Bombyx mori: one gene and its partner. Each later gene encodes a partner of the first gene's protein in a complex. Links are inferred from orthologs where the notes say so. Each region holds a gene or a part of one and is shown on either strand. Other genes may lie near its edges.

Evidence for each region. The genes of interacting proteins can lie anywhere in the genome.
Region 2: the proteins of mRNA cap-binding protein eIF4E (region 1) and eukaryotic translation initiation factor 4E-binding protein Mextli are in contact, whole or in part, in a crystal structure (PDB 5ABV), measured with the Drosophila melanogaster proteins. The link is inferred for Bombyx mori from reciprocal best matches to the Drosophila melanogaster genes eIF4E1 and mxt. Residues at the interface, in NP_001261626.1 of Drosophila melanogaster: Lys80, His81, Pro82, Leu83, Met84, Tyr91, Glu93, Asn105, Glu106, Ile107, Thr108, Ser109, Val113, Glu114, Trp117, Ser118, Leu119, Tyr120, Asn121, His122, Ile123, Lys124, Pro125, Lys130, Tyr135, Asn171, Leu174, Asp175, Leu178, Ile181; in NP_001260053.1 of Drosophila melanogaster: Val579, Ser580, Tyr581, Ile583, Leu586, Leu587, Tyr589, Ser590, Ser592, His594, Ser595, Trp596, Thr597, Leu598, Pro599, Asp601, Trp602, Lys604, Met605, Thr608, Ala609, Ser611, Ile612, Leu613, Arg614, Asn615, Leu618, Arg624, Phe625, Tyr630.

The regions. Positions count from the first base shown.
Region 1 is NC_085128.1:2,391,950-2,396,281, forward strand, and holds the start of mRNA cap-binding protein eIF4E, read left to right. Parts: upstream 1-1,322; 5' UTR 1,323-1,729; coding exon 1,730-1,759; intron 1,760-2,051; coding exon 2,052-2,230; intron 2,231-2,879; coding exon 2,880-3,057; intron 3,058-3,543; coding exon 3,544-3,631; intron 3,632-4,332. Other genes in the region: spermine synthase, read right to left, coding at 84-365. UniProt on the Drosophila melanogaster protein: Recognizes and binds the 7-methylguanosine (m7G)-containing mRNA cap during an early step in the initiation of protein synthesis and facilitates ribosome binding by inducing the unwinding of the mRNAs secondary structures.
Region 2 is NC_085110.1:13,311,275-13,314,600, forward strand, and holds the end of eukaryotic translation initiation factor 4E-binding protein Mextli, read left to right. Parts: intron 1-592; coding exon 593-697; 3' UTR 698-2,539; downstream 2,540-3,326. UniProt on the Drosophila melanogaster protein: Plays a role in promoting translation.

The sequences.
Region 1 (4,332 bases):
TTTCGCAAAGACTTTACAATAATAATATAATGTGCCAAAATAAAATAATAGCACTCAATACATTCAATCGATATAATCCTCACCTTGTGATCGATCACGGACTCCTCATTTCCGCCCTTGTAAAATTCAATATTTAAAGTAATGAAACCTCGGTCAAACATCCTAACGGATACAGTCGTTCCTTTATTACCGGTTAATAATTTCAATGAACCATCTTCCAATTTTATGTCGGTGGCTAGGATCAAATTTGGTATATATTCTTTTAATAGAGTTTCCAATTGTCCAAAGATATCTTTTTGGCCGTTTTCATCTTCCAGACGGGCCGCTTCAATCGAGAAATCCAATAAGATATTGTGAACTGACATTTTACAGTGATGTATTAAATTTTGTTTTGTTACTGTATAATCTAATTATTAACCGTCGATTAAGCCGGCAAACCAGACGACGCACACGGAGTTTTGAAACCGATCAATAATGTGAATTGCATAGATTATACACTTTGGTGAATTGTGAATTACAAATTACAATTTTATTATGAATTTATTTCCGGTCTGTGCTCGCATAGGGTTGTGCATGCCTTTTTGGCGGGAACTCGAGAAGTGAAGTTGTGTGATTTGTTTTATTTTGTCTATTTAGTGTTTCTTCAGGTGTAAATGTGTAATAACGGTGATTTATTAACTGTTTAGTATCTGAGAAAGTGCACAAATGTGGGAAAATGAAACAAAGCCGCTGAACGTAGCTTCTCGGGATCCTCCAAAAAGTCCACTGAAAAAGTCTCAGTAAATGATCACCATTTTACTGAGGTTATATTTCATCTCATTTCGTTTCATTTTCATTTCATTTCATTTGACTCCATATTATCATTTTTCATAAACATAAGAAAATAAATTAAAATAAGACTTAATGGTCTTAGTTACCAGGTCATAAAATCCCTTTAAAAAAAGAGGTTGTGCATAGATAAGGATATCATACGATGATTTCTATTAGCTAGTTCTAAATAGAGGTCAGCAGCGAAACAACTTTTCACAGCTATGCTTTGGTATATTGCTGGTAAGACAGGTGGCTACTCTGCTCAAAAGTTTTCGAATGGCAATCGCACGCTGTAAGGCGCATTGTGGGTAGGCCTTTCACAACGGTTCGAAGGACCGACCTGGTGAAGGTCACGAGATCTGCTCGACTGGTCACTGTAGCCAACTTCGGAAAAGGCCTGTGTTTATAAGGTGATGATGGAAATGCCGTGATTTAATATTTTCCATTTGCCCAAAACACGTCATTTCGGATCCTCGCGATCCACTATCGGTGCTTTTAGGCACCCCCCAGTACTGGTGACCATTCTCGTCACTCCTCTCGAATGCGACGAAGGGTTCGGCGAGCAAATTAACCCTGAGTTAATCAGCCCACTGAGTTTCTCGCCGAATCTTCTCAGTGGGTCGTGTTTCCGATCTGGTGGTAGATACTGCGAAGCACTGTTCTTAATAGGGCTAGTGTTAGCAAATTCACCAGGCTTAGCCCCGTGAACTCGCCTACTCGCTTCGTGAAGCTGGTATAATCCCATGAGATCACCAACATAGGTAGACAAAAAAATGACACCCTTAAATAAATCTAGACCATGATTAGCGCACATCCACTTTATAAAATAATAAATAATTTACGCGATTTCTGATTTGGCAACCCCGTTGACTCTGTCGCTCCTTTTCGTAGGAAATTTGCATCGTTATCCTCTCAAGATATGGCTGGAAATACTACAGAAGAAGTAGAGGTGGGTAGATGTAATTATTAAGAAAACAAAGTAATTTTCTACCTCGTTTTGCCGGTTATACAATCGTAAAACCTATAATTTTGCCGCAATTTGCTGATGTGGCTTCGTTAACTTTCACTGTTACATTTGTTAGCATAATTGTCTAGTTTTCAAGTATAAATTATAACTTTACCTCGCTCGAGTGGTTTTCTGTGTAAAAATATTCCGGATTAAGTCGTTAAACGACTTCTACGAAAATAACAATATTTTTTTTAGGTTAGGTTCACTAATAAAAATGACCTGTGTTTTTAAGGGGTCTACTACCACTGAAACGAAGACCAACAGTAACGCGGAGGTGCCCCCTGAATTTTTGATCAAGCACCCGTTACAAAACCAGTGGAGTCTCTGGTTTTACGACAATGACCGAAACAAAACATGGGAGGAGAATCTTATTGAGTTGACTACATTCGACACAGTTGAAGACTTTTGGAGGTAAAGGAAAATGCCGGTTACAGAAGTAAATTATAAATTTCATACATTTTAGAAGTACATTCATGCAACTTCTATACATTTGCAACCTAGATGAGAAAGTAAATTCTGATGGAACCTGAACTTAAACAGAATTAATTTTGCTCAAGATTAAACTAGAACACTTTCTTATAGAGCTAATTATTACGTATCTATTATAATTAATGTGATTAGTTGTCGATTTAATCATCTGTTCTTTTATTTACTTGTTATATTTTCTATAATAATAATGTATCTAACATGTAGAATGGAGTGATGGATGCCATAGGTCCATGACATATTTCCCTTTCGCGCACCAATACATCAAGTATGTTCAAAAAATCATTGAGGGGTTTTTGCACAAAAAACTTTTAAGAAATACATCAAAAATAATGAGTGACTTATGGAACCAGTGACTACTCATTGCTTACTGATAGATGTCAAATGGCAGATACAATGTGTCTGTCGTAGCCCCCTGTGCTAAACATGGTTTCTATTTTTGTCAACATGTATTCATTCATTAATTCTATAGATTCATTCCATTATAATAAGAAAATGCCAAAAATTACTCTGAGTAGTCAATTTAGTAATTAGTAGGTTTTTATTTAAGCAAAACTGTTATTGCACATTACAGATTGTACCATCATATTAAGCTACCGTCAGAACTTCGCCAAGGTCATGACTATGCAGTATTCAAGCAAGGCATTCGTCCTATGTGGGAAGACGATGCTAACAAGATGGGAGGAAGATGGCTTATCAGTCTTGAGAAAAAACAACGCTTTACTGATTTAGATAGGTTCTGGTTAGATGTGGTATGTTAAACTTTTTTATTATATACCGTTTTAGAATACTTCTTTTTTGAGTATCAAGTTTGACATAATGAAAGGAAAAGATTTTCTAAAAATATGACAAGTTTTTCTGAGCACATGTTTGTGAGTGAATATTAGCTTGATTGCACTATCCCATGTTTATAAACATTTAATAAGATGTTGTAGCTTATTTAAGATCATTGGTTTCTAAGAAACCACAAATCATGCCTCAAATAGTTAAGGCTGCCCACTCAAATCCTGTTGAATATTAGAATACAGTTACAGATAGAAACTGTATTGTAGGAAGGAGATGAAGGATCATCTCCTATCTCATTACCTACAAGCTGTATGCTTGGCTCTATGTTCTGTTGATCTTTGTTTGAAGTAATGTGGATGTGTGGAAGGATGTGACCAGTAAGCACCTACAACAAGGAACCAGAGATGTGTGTGAGATGCATTAAAATTGAAGATATTGTATTTAATTTTCAGGTTCTTCTTTTAATTGGTGAAAATTTCGAGAATTCAGATGAGATTTGTGGTGCTGTTGTTAATGTCAGACCAAAAGTAGATAAAATTGGTAAGTTTCAAAATAAAAATCTTCATTTTCTTAGTGAAATTACATAACATTCTAAGTTCTATGAATATCTAGAGGGTTTTGTTGTGTTCTTGTTAACATGAATAATAAGTAATGACATTAGCCAAGGTCATGTTGGAAAACGAGCCAAACACTAACAGAGCATCTGTTAAACAAACATAATTAGTAAATGCACAACTCACATTATAGAATTATCTAAAGTGATTTGTGAATTTAAATTGTATTATACTATGCACAAATATAAATAAATTAAACTATCTGCTGTACTGTGTTCTCTAATTATATATGCAGTAGTGCATATAATTATCTTATTATCTATGAGCACGTACAATACTGAAGTATCAAAGGAAACTGTTTATCATCACAATATGTATTAGTTTAATTTGTTTAGCTTGTAATTGATAATGATTAAAACATTATGGATCCTTATAAACCCTAAAATATCTGTAGTGCAGAGGAATAAATAAAAAAATATACAGACTGAAAGATAAAATTCATCTGAATTTGTCTCATGTCTCTTTGTTGTAGGCTTTTATACAATTACAATAATGAGAGTTTATGAGAGTCTTCGAGGTCATCTTAGTGAAAATTAGTCAAAATTAAATGTGTATTATCTTAAATGATTTATCATTTATCTTATCACATACTTATCTCCTTATGCTATATTTCATCAGAATGGGGTA
Region 2 (3,326 bases), on another chromosome or scaffold:
TGGGTATTCCAGAGAGGTTCGTCACAGGTAGAAAATCAATTCCATCGTTTCAATTTCGCTTTTAAATTGTAAATTTTATGTGATTAATATTTAATCTGTGTTTTGTTTTGTAGTTGCTGAAATTAAATGTGTGGTTTATATATACAGCTTGTCAATTCTGTTATTATGAATATAAACTATGAAAAATTTGTGGCCTATTCTTCCGCTCATCCCATTAACTACTAATAATACTACTAATATCTACTATCGCTGATTATTCTCTAAACTATATCGACGCTTGAAAGGCAAATGCTAATAACTGCTTTATACATAAATGATAGGCAATAACCATATTCGATGCGCAAAAATATATATATTTCTAGGTCTATTAAAATCATTTCAATCCTACAGCTAGATTCGTTAAAATATAATATTTTTCGGGTATTTCAACTTTAGTCTACCGTAAAGTTCACGCATTGTCGCTTAGTCACGTTGCCTTTCAAGCGTCGATTATGCTTAAACATTAAACATTAGCGCTTTCGGGAAATGGAAAGGGTTTGTATGTGGTGTGTTGGCTTCAGTTCGAGGCGATAAATTAGTTACGTATCAACAGAGCTGCCTGGAGTTCGACAGCGCGTCCTACTTGAAGAAGGTCCGCGCGGCGGGGGGCACGTCCGTGGCCACAGTGGACGCGCCCGACTCGCCGGAGCCGGAATAACCGCACGCCGCAAGACGCCGGCTTCGATCGAATCACCATTACAATACAATCACCCCGACTGTTTGATTACCAAAAGAAAATAGCGCTATCCGATTCCCGCACTAGACACTGAAATATATTTGTTATTTATGAAACTTAAAAAAATAAAATGAAAATTTTCAGAATCATATACTAAAATATGATTCGGGTTTTCACGTTTTATTCTTTATTAGCATCATAGCCATTAGACACAGCAGCACAAGGTTTATTTTTTATTTTTTATTTCGAATAAAAGTTTTGAGAACTTTTCTTATGTCGAATCTGCATTATGGTTACACATTTAAAATCGCTCTGCTACACTGCCGGTCAGTTTATTTTTGGTAATTAAAGTGGGGTGTACATTGGTGATGATGATTCCCCAGTTCGCCTCACGTCTCAGTAGTTATCTGTTCTTTATACACCTTAATGGAGCTTTTTTTGAATTATTATTTATAAAACTCATTCGAAAAGTATTAAATGCACCAAATTTTTTTATTGCGGTGGTTTCTTAGAATAAGCGCACGGATTGCACGCAGTTACTGTGTGAGGCCCAAGCGTCCACCGCCCTCCGCACCTCGAATCAGACGCACACTCGCACTAATTGCGTTAAATAAAAAAATATAATATATTTTAAAATATTATTTTTAGTAATTGAGTAACGATCAACTGATTTAAATAAAGCACAACCGCATCCGGCTCTGCATTCAACTCGCGCGCCTATCTTAAGTAAACCTCGTTTTCGTGGATAAATATTTATTTTATGATAGATATGGATTTGACCGTTTAAACGGTGGTAAGATGATATCCTGATTATCGAATACGAAAATATTGTCACTTTCGGTAGGAAGATGATTGCACGAATTCCGCTGTCTTTCAATACCTAGTTGATCTCTTTTTGTCTATGGTTTTACTTATATTTAGTTTAGCGACAGTAACAAAGAAACCAGACATCGATGGAAATAATCTGGAAAAACTATACGTCCATTATAATTCAATATTATTCGAATATATTTTTGTTGTATATATTATTGACTATTGTTAGTAACGGAAGTCATAGTGATTCCATTTAATTTAAGAAGAATGCATGCATTTCTTTCGTGTGTTTGTATACTCACTTAAATCTCTGTGTCTAGTCCTGACGAGTAAATGTTAATTCTCATTATGACGAAGCAGCTGCTAAAACGCATCGAGTGAGCCTGTCAATTTTTAATTTAATTTAAAATTTATTATTTTGAAGCTATTTGTCAAATAATAAAGCAACTTAGCGCTTAAATTTAACTTATCTATAAACTAAACCAAATAATTTGTTGTTTCCTAAAATATTTAATTAACATAGGTGGCAATTGACAGGCATCATTTGAAATAAATTATTCTCTTTTGTGTATAGATGTCAAAATTTTAAAAGCTAAAGAAAAAATATTTTGTGATGTTAAAATATATTTGATTTTTCTGTTCAAAAAAATATTTTTGTTATTAACACCAGCCATCAATCCTTTATACTCAAATCGTAAGTTTTTAAATGACTGATACTGAAATTTGTATTACATTAGTTTTTTTCATAATGCACATACTAAATTTTTTAGTTTGTAAATTTTGTAGAGGTCTGATTAGTTGTAATTGAATTATGATGTGGATCTAACAGGATTTATGGTTGGTCTATTGCACTATATGCACATAGTATAATATATTTTTCAAATTTCACAATTAGTTGGTGCTTGTTACCTGGGAAGTATTATTTGTTAAATTTATGATGATTTTATGTTTACACGTTTTTTATGTAAGAAAATTATTGTGGCCACTGATGAAATACTAAATTTTCTAATAGATAGGAGTTTTATTTATTCTACAGCTCTACAAAACTAGGAAACTAGTAAATAATTGAAATTATAAAGCCAATGGTTTATAAATATTTATTCAAATAAATAGCGAAATTACAGAAATAATCATTGTAGCTTTACAACTAATATCAAAGTCAGTATTATTAATAGGCATTAAGTTAATTAAATAAATGACAATACATTCTACCAGACTACAAGTTAGTAATCGCTGCACAAACAAAAAAATGGGGGAAAAAAGAGGAATTAACAAAAAAAATTTAATGTCAGCATGTGATTTCCAACAAAAATATATTTTTTCATATATTTGCTGAACACCAATAACAAAATGGCGTTCTAAATTGACGAGACTCATTTGCACTAATATTGACTTTTTATTCGACGAATTGTTTAGTTTTCTGCCTGAAAATCGAATAACTTCGAAAGGCTAAAAAGCGTGTACATCCTAATTGTATAACCAGTACTGTTTGATAAGACCATTACAATTTCGTCGTAAGATAGTGTTTTGCAGCTTTTTATGATTATTACTTAGAATTATTTTTGTTAACAAATTCACATGATTAAAGTGGCCCTCTCACTACTAATACAGCGGATGTTTATATCCAGCAATCCTACATATTGGTCTGTCCGGATGTTGAATTGATTCAAGTATACGCCCAAGTCCCTACTATTACTGCTGTTTTAGAACCTTCTAACCGTAAGAGTATATCGTCACTATTCCATTACTAACGTAGAATCAGCAGATCAGATTGTTGAGCGGTTACCGAAGGTAAGAT